Linked DNA regions of Anolis sagrei. Each later gene encodes a partner of the first gene's protein in a complex. Links are inferred from orthologs where the notes say so. Each region holds a gene or a part of one and is shown in the gene's direction. Other genes may lie near its edges.

Region 1 (7,406 bases):
TTTCATCCACATCTATGGCAGGCATCCTCAAGAGATTGTGAGGTACAGTATATTGGAAACAAGGCAAGGGAGGTTTATATATCCGTGAAAGGTCCCGCGTGGGAGAAAGAACTCCTGTCTGTTGGAGGCAAATGTGAATGGTGTAATTAATCACCTGATTAGTATTTGATGGTCAACTCAACCAGAGAAGTCAGCCATAGTAAAACACTTGAACCAACTTGGACACGGCATACTATACTAGAACACAGAAATGCTGGACCATTCTAACAATCCCCATGTCAGACTACACAAAGAAGCCATTGAAATCCACAAGCATGTGGACAATTTCCACAAAAAGGAAGAAACCATGAAAATGAAAAAGAAATCTGTCTACCAGTTTTTTTTAAAAAAACCCATCTAAAACAGGAGAGTAAATAGAGAACACTCAGAAAACAAGGGAATTCCAGACATGAAACAATCAGGGCCAGCTAACACCTCCAAAAAAGGATTCCCCCAGGGTGCAATCTGCCACGACTGGAAGCTGTAAGACCACCAAATGCTAATCAAGATGGTTAATTACAACATTCACACTTGCTTCCAACAGACAAGAGTTCTTTCTCCCACCCGGCACATTCCAGAGATATATAAACATAATTTGCCTAGTTTCCAATATACCTCCCGACCTCTGATGATTCCTGCCTTAGATGTGGGAGAAACGTCAGGAGATAATGTTTCTGGAGCATGGCCACACAGCCCGGAAAACTCATCCCAGTGATTGGCTATTTCTTCCTTACCACGCATGCGCAGGCAGCCTGGGAGAGGCAGAGCTTGAATGCAAAGCAGTAGCTGAGTGTTGAGTTTGAAAGGCCTGAGTGATGGAAAGGGCAGGGAGGTGGGAGGGCCTAAGCCAAAAGAATGGAGACAGATAGGTTGGGCTGCCTGTAGGCTTGTAGGGATTGTTTCTGAGGAGGGCGGGCTTTGGTGACAGTAACCAATAGGAAACATTGTCTTGCATCACGGTGACGGAGCAGCCTGGGATTGAAGAGGGGAAAAGGAAGCTTAGCGTCTGCCTACGGCCATACCACCCTGAACACGCCCGATCTCGTCTGATCTCGGAAGCTAAGCAGGGTCGGGCCTGGTTAGTACTTGGATGGGAGACCGCCTGGGAATACCGGGTGCTGTAGGCATTTTTTTTGGCCTAATTTTCATCCTTTACACTTGCATTACAGCAACACGTCCCAAAAGACTCACATTTTATTTAAAGCAGAACAAAAGAGAAACCCAACTCATGCCAATATCCCATAGAGTACCACAGGGTTCAAACTTTCTGCAGGTTCATGCCAACTCTGGGCAGGCAAAATGATCTTGGCTTTGGTGAAATTTCAAAGAAACGTCTGAGGAATGTGCCTGCAGTAACAAGGGTAGTTTGGAGGGATGTGACTGCAAAACCAAAGTGTCTGGGCTCAAGGGAGAGGTGCCCCTTGGGTCTCCTGTTGGGCTGCTTTGCCTTCCTAGGGTCGCAGCTTGGGAGTGATCCTGGACTCATCGCTGAGCCTGGAACCCCAGGTTTCGGCTGTGGCCAGGGGAGCTTTTGCACAGTTAAAACTTATGTGCCAGCTGCACCAGTATCTTGGGAAGTCTGACTTGGCCACAGTGGTCCACGCTCTGGTTACATCCCGGATAGATTACTGCAATGCACTCTACGTGGAGTTGCCGCTGAAGACTGCCTTGAAGCTCCAACTAGCCCAACGCTTGGCAGCCAGGTTGGGTAAAGGCACAACTCCCCTGTTACACCGGCTCCACTGGCTGCCGATTAACTTCTGAGCACAATTCAAAGTGCTGGTTTTAACCTATAAAACCTACACAGTTCCGACCCAGTTTACCTGTCTGAACGTATCTTCCCCTATAAACCATCAAGGACTTTAAGATCTTCCGGAGAGGCCCTGCTCTATGTCCCACCACCTTTGCAGTCATGCTTGGTGGGGACGAGAGACAGGGCCTTCTCTGCTGTGGCCCCCCGGCTATGGAACTCTCTCCCCAATGAGGTTAGGTCTGTCCCCTCCCTCCTGACCTTCAGCAAGAAACTGAAATCCTGGCTTTGGAATCAGGCATTTGCAGATTCATTGATTGAATCGGTAAATACTAAGAGTTATGATGTCACTCAAAGTGAACAGAGCATCTATATAAATAAAAATGTAATGTTTGTTTGTGGGATTAACATAACTTAAAAACCACTGGACGAATTGCCACCAAATTTGGACAAAAGATACCTACTAACCCAAGGAGTGACCATCACTCAAAAATGGATTTTGTCATTTGGGAGTTGTAGTTGCTGGGATTTATACTTCACCTACAATCAAAGAGCATTCTGAACTCCACCAATGATGGAATTGCACTAACCTTGGCACACAGGACTTCCAAAGCCAACAGAAAACAGTAGAAGGGTTTGGTGGGCATTGACCTTGAGTTTTAGAGTTATAGTTTACCTATACCCAGAGAACACTGTTGACACAAACAATGATTGATCTGGACCAAACTTGGCACTAATACTCCATATGCCCAAATATGAACACAGAAGGAGTTTGGGGAAAATAGACCTTGACATTTGGGAGTTGTAGTTGCTGGGATTTATAGTTCACCAACAATCAGTAATAGAATTGAACCAAACTTTCCACACAGAACCCCCATAACCAACAGAAAATAATGTGTTTTCTGATAGTTTTGGTGACCCCTCTGACACACCTTAAGACCTCTGCAAGGGACCCAACTCCCAGGTTGAGAAATGCTGCCTATAGTCCATCCAGTCCATCTCCCTTCACAAGGGCGAGAAAACATAACCAAAGCCCTCCTGACAAACAGCTATCTAGCCATAGATAGATATAGACAGATAGATATGATTCACACACACATGTATATGACATATGGTATCATAGATTTGAGGAGGGACCCCTAAAGGAGGACAATTATATGTTGCATGTACTAGAGTAGGCAAAACAGACAATCTCCACATCAACACTGACAAAGAAACAACAAGAAATACTGTTTACCCACAACAAGCATAAAGAAATTACATATATGAGAAACCAAATCTATGATACTATATCTGTGTGTGTGTGTGTGAGAATCATATCTATCTATCTATATTTATGACTGGATGGTTCTTTGTCAGGAGGGCTTTGATTACGTTTTCTTGCCCTGGTGAAGAGAGTTGGACTGGATGGCCTTAAGTATTTTCTGTTGGTCATTGGGGTTCTGTGTGGGAAGTTTGCCCAATTTCTGTCGTTTGTGGGTTTCAGAATGCTCTTTAATTGTAGTGAACTATAAATCCCAGTAACTACAAATCCCAAATGTCAAGGTCTATTTCCTCCAAACTCCATCTGTGTTCATATTTGGGCATATGGAATTTTTGTGTCAAGTTTGGTCCAAATCCATCATTGAGTCCACAGTGCTCTCTGGATGTAGGTGAACTACAACTCCCAAACGCAAGGTCAATGCCCACCAAACCCTTCCAGTGTGTTCTGTAGGTCATGGAAGTCCTGTATGCCATGTTTGGTTGAATTCCATCATTGGTGGAGTTCAGAATGCTCTTTGATTGTAGGTGAACTATAAATCCCAGCAACTACAGCTCCCAAATGTCAAGGTCTATTTCCCTTAAACTCCATCTGTATTCATATTTGGGCATACGGAATATTCATGCCAAGTTTGGTCCAGATCCATCATTGTTTGAGTCCACAGTGCTCTCTGGATGTGGGTGAACTATAAGTCCCAAACTCAAGGTCAATGTCCATCAAACCCTTCCAGTTTTTTCTGTTGGTCATGGGAGCCCTGTGTGCTAAGTTTGGCCCAATTCCTTCATTGGTGGAGTTCAGAATGCTCTTTGATTGTAGGTAAACTATAAATCTCAGCAACAACAATTCCCAAAAGACAAAATCAATTTTTTTGAGTGGAGGACATAAATTGGACTGTTGGGTGTCTTGTGTCCAAATTTGGTGTCAATTCCCCCAGTGGTTTTTGAGTTCTGATGGTAGCATGAACTAACATTATATTTTTATTTATATAGATAGAAGGTAGATTTTGTGTTCACTTCCAGTTTACATTGGCCATAGAGTTGTGCTGGAAGATCTAGAATTTCCTAAAGAACTCTTCTCTCGGGTTAAAAATGTAACATTTTCTTCATTTGCAACAAGCCCCAGACTGAGTCTCCTGCCCTCTTCTGTTGAATGTCCCTGCCGGCAGAGACAGCTCATGGAGTGGAGTATCAGGTGGGGAAAGGATAGCCTGTACTTCCTCTTGGCCTCCTCCAAGGAGGGGAGAGGGCGCCCAATGGCGTGGGAGGGAGGCTCCCCTCCTTCCCACTCGGGTCAGCTGACTCCCGAGTCATGCGGCTGAGGCGTGGGCTAGCTCTCCCAAAGAGAAAGCGGCTTCTAGTTTCCTTTCCAGCCGCCTTGAGATGTTCGCCCTCTTCCTGCTCCCTCTCCTTTGCCCGGCTTTGGCATCATCATCATCTTCTGTAAGTCGCTTTGCCGTCCCTCCTTTCTCCCACGACTGAGCCTTATTTCTGTTTGATTCCCTCCCTTTCCAATCCCAGCAAAGAAGGAGATGCCCAGGCTGCATCTCCACCAGTGTTTCTCAACCTTCCTAGTGCTGCCACCCCTTAATCCAGTTCCTCATGTTGGGGTGACCCCCAACCATAACATTACTTTCATTGCTACCTTATCACTGTAATTTGGCTACTGTTCTGTATTGTAATCTACATATCAGACATGCAGAATGTATTTTCATTCACTGGACCAAACTGGGCACTAATAATAATAATAAATAAATAAATAAATAAACTTTATTTCTACCCCACTACCATCTCCCCGATGGGGACTCGGAGTGGCTTACATGGGACCAAATACTCGATACGTGAGGTTCGGGAGATTGATTTTGTCACTTGGGAGTTGTAGTTTCTGGGATTTATAGTTTGTCTATAATCAAAGTGCATTCTGAACTCCACCAATGATGGAATTGAACCAACCTTGGCACACATGACCTACAGAAAATACTGGAAGGGTTCAGTGGGCATTGACCTTGAGTTTGGGAGTTATAGTTCACCAATCTCCAGAGAGCACTGTGGGCTCAAACAGTTACGGATCTGGATCAGATATTGGCACAAATACTCAATATGACCAAATGTGGACAGTGGTGGAATTTGGGGGAAAGTAGAGCTTGACATTTGGGAGTTGTAGTTGCTGGGATTTGTAGTTCACATACAATCACAGAGCATTCTGAATTCCACCAATGATGGAATTGAACCAACCTTGGAATTGAACCAATTCCACCAATGATGGAATTGAACCAACCTCCAGTATTTTCTGTGTATATGACCTACAGAAAATACTGGAAGGGTTCAATGGGCATTGACATTGAGTTTGGGAGTTATAGTTCACCAATCTCCAGAGAGCACTGTGGGCTCAAACAATTATGGATCTGGACCAAATATTGGCACAAATACTCAATATGACCAAATGTGGACAGTGGTGGAATTTGGGGGAAATAGAGCTTGACATTTGGGAGTTGTAGTTGCTGGGATTTATAGTTCGCCTACAATCACAGAGCATTCTGAACCCCACCAATGAGAAAATTGGGCCAAGCTTCCCACGCAGAACCCCCACAAACAACAGAAAAATACTGTGTTTTCTGATGGTCTTTGGCGACCCCTCTGACACCTCCTTGCTCCCCCCAGGTTGAGAAACACTGATCTACACAGTCGAATTGACGCAGTTTGATACTACTAGCAAGTGCAATGGAATCGCACGAATTGCGGCTTTGCAAGGTCTTGTTACCCTCTCTGCCATGAGTGCTGGTGTCTCCTCAAACTCCCCATGGCACCCAGTCATGGCGATCAAAGTGGTGTCAAAGTGCATTAATTCCACCGTGTAGACGTGGCGCGTTATAGGGAAGTAATTAGAGCAGGCAGGGGCCAACTTGGACCCTTCAAGTGTTTTGGACTCCAACTCTCACCATTCCTAACAGCCTCAGGCCCTTCCTTTTCCCCCTCAGCCGCTTAAGCAGCTGAGGGGGAATAGGAAAGGGCCTGAGGCTGTTAGGAATGGTGGGAGTTGGAGTCCAAAACACCTGGAGTGCCCAATTTGGCCCATGCTTGATTTGGAGTCTAAGCTGCTGAGAGACTTTTGAAGAAAGCTTCGTAATGGGAGGTTAGACAACGCCACACACGGCTATCCTTGTTTCTGTGCATCCTCATGTGCCCCAAAAGACACGTGTCATGTGGGAGAATGAGGGTCATGTGGCTGGACACAAAGGGCAGCACCATAGGAGTGTGTTTCCCCTTTTTCCTTCCCCTTCCTGCTTTTTGTTTTGTTTTGCATCTTGGTTTTTAGGAAGTGCTCAAAAGTCAAGTTTGCTTTGCTAATGCTACTTCTATACTGACCATATATAATGCAGTTTGCCTGGCATTGAAGTGCATTATATGGTTCTTTAATGTGTTGTTAAAGGTTTTCATGGCCAGAATCACTGGCTTGCTGTGCGTTTTCCAAGCTGTATGGCCATGTTCCAGAAGCATTCTCTCCTGATGTTTCTCCCACATCTATGGCAGGCATCCTCAATGGTTGTGAGGTCTGTAGGAAATGAGGTAATGAGGTTTATATATCTGTGAAATGTCCAGGGTGGGAGAAAGAACTCTTGTCTATTTGAGGCAAGTGTGAATGTTGCAGTTGGCTAGCTTGATTAGCATTGAATAGCCTTGAAACTTCAACGCCTGGCTGCTTCCTGCCTGGGGGAATCATTTGTTGGGAGGCAGGAAGCAGCCAGGCATTGAAGCTGCAAGGCTATTCAGTTATAATCAAGGTAGCCAATTGCAACATTCACACTTTCCTCAGGCAGACAAGAATTCTTTCTCCCACCCGGAACATTCCACAGATATATAATAAACCCACTTGCCTAGTTTCTAACAGACCCGACAACTTTTGAGAATGCCTGCCATAGATGTGGGAGAAACGTCAGGAGAGAATGCTTCTGGAACATGGTCATATAGCCTGGAAAACTCACATTAACCAATTCCATTTAATATCATAAAATGATAGAATCAGAGTTGGAAGAGACCTCAATGGTCATCCAGTCTAACCCCCTGCCAAGAAGCAGGAAAATTGCATTCAAAGCACCCCTGACAGATGGCCCTCCAGCCTCTGTTTAATAGCTTCCAAAGAAGGAGTCTCAACCACACTCCGGGGCAGAGAGTTCCACTGCTGTACGGCTCTCACAATCAGGAAGTTCTTCCTAATGTTCAGATAGAATCTCCTTTTTTGTAGTTTGAAGCCATTGTTCTGTGTCCTAGTCTCCAGGGAAGCAGAAAACAAGTTTTCTCCTTCCTCCCTATGACTTCCTCTCACATATTTATACATGGCTGTCATGCCTCCTCTCAGCCT
Region 2 (7,328 bases), on another chromosome or scaffold:
ACTCATGGCTCTGGAAGGTCTCGCCTCCAGCATCTGGGGAGAAGTAAATAAATAAAATAATAAAGAAATAAAGAAATTTGGAGAAATAACAGGGCTATTTGTTTGTTTATTTATTTATCGTGTCAGTATCAAGCAGACAATTGTGTTACATTTATAACAAACCGATAAAACACAAAATTTGCAAGCTTGGTAGTTGATGAAATGTCCTTTGACCAGTCTCTGGCCCCTTGGAGTGCCTCTGGTGTTCCTATAAGAAGGTCCTCCCATCATGTGCCAGGGCTCAGGTTGCATTGCAGCAGGTGGTCAGCGGTTGGCTCTTCTCCCCACTCGCCTACACTCTTTACATTCCAGGTCAAGAGGTCTGACCTAAGCTGAAGTTTGCCCAGGCCTTGCCTAGAAACTGAATCCCCTGAGGATTCCTGGCAAATTGGCAGGTGACTCAAAGACACACAAACAGGTTGTGCCGTCCGCCCAGACGATACAAAAAGTAAAACTGCAACGTGCTTCTCTCTATGTCTGAGCGAACTGCAGGTGTCTATCTTGAGAAGCTTGAGATACTCAGCAATTGAGACTATCCCTGGTTTTAAACATCAAAAAAGGATATTTATTTACACAAAGTCCTTGAAGACTTGGCACAGTTCATCACAGTTGCAAACAGTCAATAGATGAAGCTACACAAATATTCTTTCTTTCCTATAGTTACAGAGGTAACCCTTTCTCCAGATGGCAGATAAGATCCTGGAATCTTAACACCCTCACCTTAAGCTGTTGTGGTTTAGAAAAAAACAGGCTTCTTCCCTATCTGTAACTTAAGGTCAGTCCTGGAGACAAAGCAGTCACAACTCTCTATAACTATATAACTCAATCTTCTTAATGAAGCTTATCCATCTATAATATCTCAATACACCTCAATACACAATATACTATCTATACTAACTTGGTTTAGCTTAATACTTACCTATAGAGTACTTTTTGCAATGGTTTTCCCAGAGCTAACTGCTTAGCCATCAGCACGTCCTGAAGTCTTTCCTCTAAACTGAAAAGGCAGGGGAGAATCTAAAATGGGGATCTTTCCCTGGGAGAAAAGGCGGTCCCTAAACTCAAAGAGCTGCTCTCTAGGCCAATGGTTGCAAAGAGTCCTGCAGACTCTGATACTATTCACTTTTAGGACTCTTGCAAAGCTGCAGCAGCCCTGGGAGAAAATGCAAGAGGAAGCAACCTCAAGCAACTTCAAAGTGAGGCAAATCAGGCTCCTGGGAGACGGAACACAGGTAGAATCCCACCTGGGCCCCTTTCCTCAAATACTGCAGGCAAGAGCCTCCATTGTGTGGAGGGGGGAGGGGAAGCCCTATGGACACCACAGGGTTCTTCCGTCCTGGGCCCGGTCCTGTTCAACATCTTTATTAATGACTTAGATGAAGGGTTAGAAGGCAGGTTAATCAAGTTTGCAGATGACACCAAATTGGGAGGGAAATGCAATACTCCAGAGGACAGGAGCAGGACTCAAAGGGATCTCGACAGATTAGAGAGATGATGGGCCGAAACTAACAACATGAAGTTCAACAGTGACAAATGCAAAATACTCCACTTTGGCAGAAAAAAACGAAATGCAAAGAGACAGAATGGGGGACAATGAGGCCTGGCTTGAGAGTTGAACAAGTTGAACATGAGCCAACAATGTGATGTGGCGGCAAAAAAAGCCAATGGGATGTTGGCCTGCATCAATAGGAGCCTAGTGCCTAGATCTAGGGAAGTCCTGCTCCCCATGCTCTATTCTGCCTTGGTTAGACCACGTTACCTGGAATATTGTGTCCAATTCTGGGCACCACAATTCAAGAGAGATATTGACAAGCTGGAATGTGTCCAGAGGAGGGTGACTCAAATGATCAAGGGTCTGGAGAACAAGCCCTATGAGGAGCGGCTTAAGGAGCTCGCATGTTTAGCCTGAAGAAAAGAAGGATGAGAGGAGATATGATAGCCATGTATAAATATGTGAGAGGAAGCCACAGGGAGGAGGAGGGAGCACGCTTGTTTTCTGCTTCCTTGGAGACTAGGACACAATGGAACAATGGCTTCAAACTAGAAGAAAGGAGATTCCACCTGAACATGAGGAAGAACTTCCTGACTGTGAGAGCCGTTCAGAAGTGGAACTCTCTGCCCCGGAGTGTGGTGGAAGCTCTTTCTTTGGAGGTTTTTAAGCAGAGGCTGGATGGCCATCTGTCAGGGGTGCTTTGAATGCAATATTCCTGCTTCTTGGCAGAATGGGTTTGGACTGGATGGTGGCCCAGGAGTTCTCTTCCAACTCGAGGATTCTAGGCTTCTATCATTCTATGATTCTATGACTTCATGAGGTTGCCACCCATGGAGACGTGCCTTGGATGCACACACAAGCAAGGATTGCCATTGCCCCGATTCCTATCACCCAGACACCATTAATTAGAGCAATCAGGCAATTAATTATGACCCCGTTCATCCCACGGGAGGCCAGAAGGGAGATCCACACCCTTGGCAGCGCTGATCCCAAGCTCAGGGGCGTCTTCAACACCAGCGGCTCCCAGCCTTTGTTTGACCCGGGACCAGTCTCTCCAGCATCAGGACCAAAAGGGTTTTGGTCAACTTTCGATTCGGTTTCATTATTTGAGGTATTAATTCAGAAAATTGCATTAGATGGACCACCTCAGCTCTAGTTTGTGATAGAGAACATCTGCCGCCCAGTAATTGCCATCTGCTCGTCCACAGAAACCCATCTGTAATCCGCCTTGGCACTAAAAGAGGGGTTTGCAAGACCAGTTGCTCTCACTGCAACCGTGTAGTAACGGTGAGGACTGTATTTTAGTTCTTGAAGACCGTACCTGGTGTCCAAGTTTGGTGTCAGTAGTTGCCACCTGCTTGCCCACAGGAAACCATGTTGAATAAGCCTTGGCACTAGAATCGTAGAGTTGGAAGAGACCTCCTGGGCCATCATCCAGCCCAACCCCACTCTGCCAAGAAGCAGGAAAATCCCATTCAAAGCACCCCTGACAGATACCCATCCAGCCTCTGTTCAAAAGCCTCCAAAGAAGGAGCCTCTACCACACTCCCTCCGGGGAAGGCAGAGAGTTCCACTGCTGAACGGCTCTCAGACGAGGGTTTGGCCAGACCAGTTGCTCTTGTTGCAACTATTGTGATATTTTAGTTCTTGTGGACCACAGCTGGCCCACGGAGCACAGGTTGGGAACCAGTCTTTCTCAACTGGTGGGTCCCTCCCTCCCCAGGAACTTTGACCTACAACTCCCAGAAATCCCAGCCAGCTGACCAGTTGTGAGGCTTTCTGGGAGTGGAAGGCCAAACCACCTGGGAAAATCTACATCAGGGGTCCTCAAACTAAGGCCCAAGGGCCAGATACAGCCCTCCAAGGTCATTTACCTGACCTTTGCTCAGGGTCAACCTAAGTCTGAAATGACTCGAAAGCTCACAACCACCACCACCACCACAATCCTGTCTCATCAGCACTCCAAATAAGAGATGTGCCGCTGCGTGCATAGGAATTCATTCATGCTTTTTTCAAATTATAATCTGGCCCTCCAAGAGTTTGAGGGACTTGTGATCTGGCCCTCTGTTTTTAGGAAGTTGGAGGGGTGGGTTTTCTCCAAGGGAAACAACCAGGTTCGTTATTGAGATGTATTTACAGGCATGCTGTTGTTGTTGTTGCTGTTCCGCCTCGTCCTCCTCTCTCAGAAGAGACTGGAAGCAGGCCACCAGGCTACACAATAACAACAACAACAACTAAGTTCTTGTGGTTTTTTTCCGGGCTATATGGCCATGTTCTGGAGGTAATTTTTCTCCTGACGTTTCGCCTGCATCTATGGCAAGCATCCTCAGAGGGAGTGAGGTCTGTTGGAACTAGGAAAAGGGGTTTATATATTGTCAAAGGCTTTCATGGCTGGAATCACTAGGTTCTTGTAGGTTTTTTCGGGCTATAGGGCCATGTTCTAGAGGCATTCTCTCCTGACATTTCTCCTGCATCTATGGCAAGCATCCTCAGAGGGAGTTAGGTCTGTTGGAAGTAGGAAAACAGGGGTTTATATATCTGTGGAATGACCAGGGTGGGACAAAGGACTCTTGTCTGCTGGAGCCAGGAAGGAATGTCTCAACTGAGCACCTTGATTAGCATTGGATGGCCTGGCTGTGCCTGGAGCAAACTCTTCTTGAAAGGTAACAACAATAACCTTCCTCCCTCCCTGCCTCCCTCCCTGAGGGTTCCAAAGTGCGCGCGCATCCGGGGGAAGGCAGTTCTGGCCACGCCCCCTGTGGTGGTCAGCTGACCGAGGCGCTCCCGCCCCCTCCCTCCCTCCCCTTGGGGAGAGTCACGTGAGGCTCCCGGGAAGACCCAGAAGCCGGAGGGCAGCCGAGCCAGGGAGAAGCAGGACGGAGTGAGTTCCCCATTGAGGGTCCTGGGGAGGGGAGGGAATCCCCCCCTTTGGGTTTGGGGTCCTGGGAGGGAGCTCAGCATAGAAAGAGGGAAGCAGGAGGGGTCCCTCTCTCTCTCTCTCTTGGGGGGGGGGTCCCCAGAAGAGCCCCCTTCCCCAGCCCCTCCCTCCCTTCCCCAGCCCACCCCCCCCCCCTTCTGGGTCCCCTGGCCTTGGAAGGCAGTGGGGGGAGGGTGTCCCCATTGAGGGTCCTGGGAGGGGAGGGGGGCTCAGCATAGGGGGGAAGCAGAAGGGATCTCTCTCTCTCTGAATGGGGAAGGGTCCCCAGAAGACCCCACCGCGGCCCCCTCCCCTCCCCCACCCAAGCCGAGTTGGGGGAGCCCCCCCAGTTATCCCCCAGCCCACCCCACCCCCACTCCACCCCCCTTCTGGGCTCCCTGGCCTTGGGAGCAGCCCCTTCCCCAGAGACTGGTGGGCTCCCTGCCTGCCTCCCACCCCTTGGGCCCCTCCTCTGGGCCCCTGCCTTCCAGCAGAGAGAGAATTGGGGGGGGGGCACCTCCATGAAATCCATGAAAGAGTCCTTGGGGTCCGCATGGGAGGGAGGGAGGGGGGAGGCCTCGGCCAAAAAGGCCCACGGGACGTTGTCCTGCACCCAGAGGAGCCTCAGATCTGGATCCCAGGAAGTCCTGCTTTGGCCAGACCACTTGACCGGTCCTCCCCCAGTCAGTCTCCCATTCCAGGCACCAACACTGAAGGGAGAGGGGGACCCTCCTCAGCTGGAATGCTGTGTCCAGAGGGAGAGGGAGACCCCAAGGAGGACCCAGGGGGGTCTAGAGAGGAAGCCCCATGAGGAGCGGCTCAAAGAGCAGCTGGGCGTGTTGAGCCTGCAGAAGAGAGAGAAGACAGAGAGGAGACAGGATGAAGGCCGGGGATCAAGAGGAGGAGAGAACAGGATTCCTCTCTGATGCCCTGGAGAGAGACTACGATGCCATGGAGGAATGGCCTCAAATGACAGGAAAGGAAGAACTTGAGGAAGAACTTCCTGACTAGGAGAGAGAGCTGTTCAGCAGTGGAACTCTCTGCTCCGGAGGAAGTGTAGTGGAGGCTCCTTCTTTGGGGCTTTGAAGCAGAGGCTGGGTGGCCATCTGTCGAGGGTGCTTTGAAGGTGTTTTCCCTGCTTCTTGGCAGAATGGGGTTGGACTGGATGATGGCTCACCAGGTCTCTTACAACTCTAGGATTCTATGTTCAGCAGTGGAACTCTCTGCCCCAAAGTGTGGTGGAGGCCCCTTCTGTGGAGGCTTTGAAGCAGAGGCTGGTTGGCCATCTGTTGGGGGTGCTTTGAAGGTGGTTTCCCTGCTTCTTGTCAGAATGGGGCTGGACTGGATGGCCCACCAGGTCTCGTCCAGCTTGAGGATTCCTCCTGGGGTGGCTTTGGCCAGGTCTGGGCAGCAGGGGAGTGATGATTCCAGGTGGAGACCAAAACAGAAGAGAGCGTGGCTTGGACTTAATAATAATAATAATAATAATAATAATAATAACAATAATAATAACAACAACAACAACAACACTTTATTTATACCCCCGCTACCACCATTTCCCCAAGGGGTTTGTTGCGGCTTACATGAGGCCAAGCCCAAACACAACAATACAAGTAATTAAAATAAAAACATAAACAGTAAAGATATGACATTATCAATAAGACAACATACAATTAAAAACAGTGGGAAGGCCAAATGGATAATTAAAATTGGAAATAGTGCAGTCTAGGATCCCATGGGCCTTTGGAGGTGCTGCAGCGCCACGCTCTCTGCTCACCCTCTGCTTGTGGTCCCTTTCTGTGTCCCCTCCCTTCCTTCCTTCCTTCCTTCCTTCCTTCCTTCCTTCCTTCTCTCCTTCGCAGGCGATGAGTCCCCTGTTTGCGCTGCTGCTGCCGGCGGCATTGCTGCTGTCCCTTGGGGCCAGGGCGGCTCCAAAAGGGCACGAGGTCACCTACCTGCCGGGCCTGGCCAAGCAGCCCTCCTTCCGGCACTTCTCCGGGTACCTGGACGTGGACAAGGACAAGCACCACCACTACTGGTCAGCGCTGGGAAGGGGAAGGCAATGTGGGGGGGGGGGTTGTGACTGGAAGGATTGGGTGGCCTTTGGGGGTCTCTTCCGACTTTGACATGGCATGGAAGGGGAGGAGAGGCACCTCTGGCCACCGCTTACCTGCCCAAGACTTTGGAGGCATATTTGGCATCTCAGATACAGTTAAGTGCAGCATAGACAGGGCTATCTATGTTTATTTATTTATCGTGTCAGGAGCAACCAGACAATTGTATTACATTTCTAACAGAACAAAACAAACAGACAGACAAAACACAAAATTTGCAAGCTTGGTAGTTGATTAGATGTCCTTTGACCAGTGTCTGGCCACTTGGAGTGCTTCTGGTGTTGCCGCAAGGAGGTCCTCCCTGGTGCATCATGTGATGGGGCTCAGGGTGCATTGCAGCAGGTGGTCAGTGGGTTGCTCTTCTCCACACTCACATGTCGAGGATTCCACTTTGTGGCCCCATTGCTTGAGGTTGGCTCTGCATCTTGTAGTGCCACAGCACAGTCTGTTCAGCGCCTTCCAAGTCACTTCCAGTCTTCTGTGTGCCATGGGGGAGTCTCTTCTTTGGGATCAGCCATTGGTTGAGGTTCTGAGTTTGAGCCTGCCACTTTTGGACTCTCGCTTGCTGAGGCTATCTATGTGAACCTACAGTAGGGAATGGGAGAGAAAGGAAGGGACCACCAAGCCCTCCTCAGAGATGGCCAGGCTGATGGGGGCTTCTGGGAGCTGAACTCCAAAACACCCCAAGGACCAACCGTTCAACCACTTTAGATGAATGTCAATACAGGTAGAGAGGAGTTATGTAGTTATATGGTTATATAGTACT

Evidence for each region. Proteins that work in one complex are often made in the same cells at the same time.
Region 2: the proteins of GLB1 (region 1) and CTSA are in contact, whole or in part, in a cryo-EM structure (PDB 7KDV), measured with the Mus musculus proteins. The link is inferred for Anolis sagrei from reciprocal best matches to the Homo sapiens genes GLB1 and CTSA. Residues at the interface, in NP_033882.1 of Mus musculus: Tyr198, Asp199, Arg202, His206, Leu229, Thr233, Leu234, Gln235, Asp236, Leu237, Lys258, Phe259, Glu260; in NP_001033581.1 of Mus musculus: Glu29, Asp31, Ala37, Lys38, Gln39, Pro40, Ser41, Phe42, Arg43, Tyr107.

What each region holds. Positions count from the first base shown.
Region 1 is NC_090026.1:75,373,977-75,381,382, forward strand, and holds the start of GLB1 (beta-galactosidase), read left to right. Parts: upstream 1-4,406; 5' UTR 4,407-4,429; coding exon 4,430-4,489; intron 4,490-7,406.
Region 2 is NC_090024.1:248,826,456-248,833,783, reverse strand, and holds the start of CTSA (lysosomal protective protein), read left to right. Parts: upstream 1-4,314; 5' UTR 4,315-4,412; intron 4,413-6,310; 5' UTR 6,311-6,313; coding exon 6,314-6,486; intron 6,487-7,328. UniProt on the Homo sapiens protein: Protective protein appears to be essential for both the activity of beta-galactosidase and neuraminidase, it associates with these enzymes and exerts a protective function necessary for their stability and activity.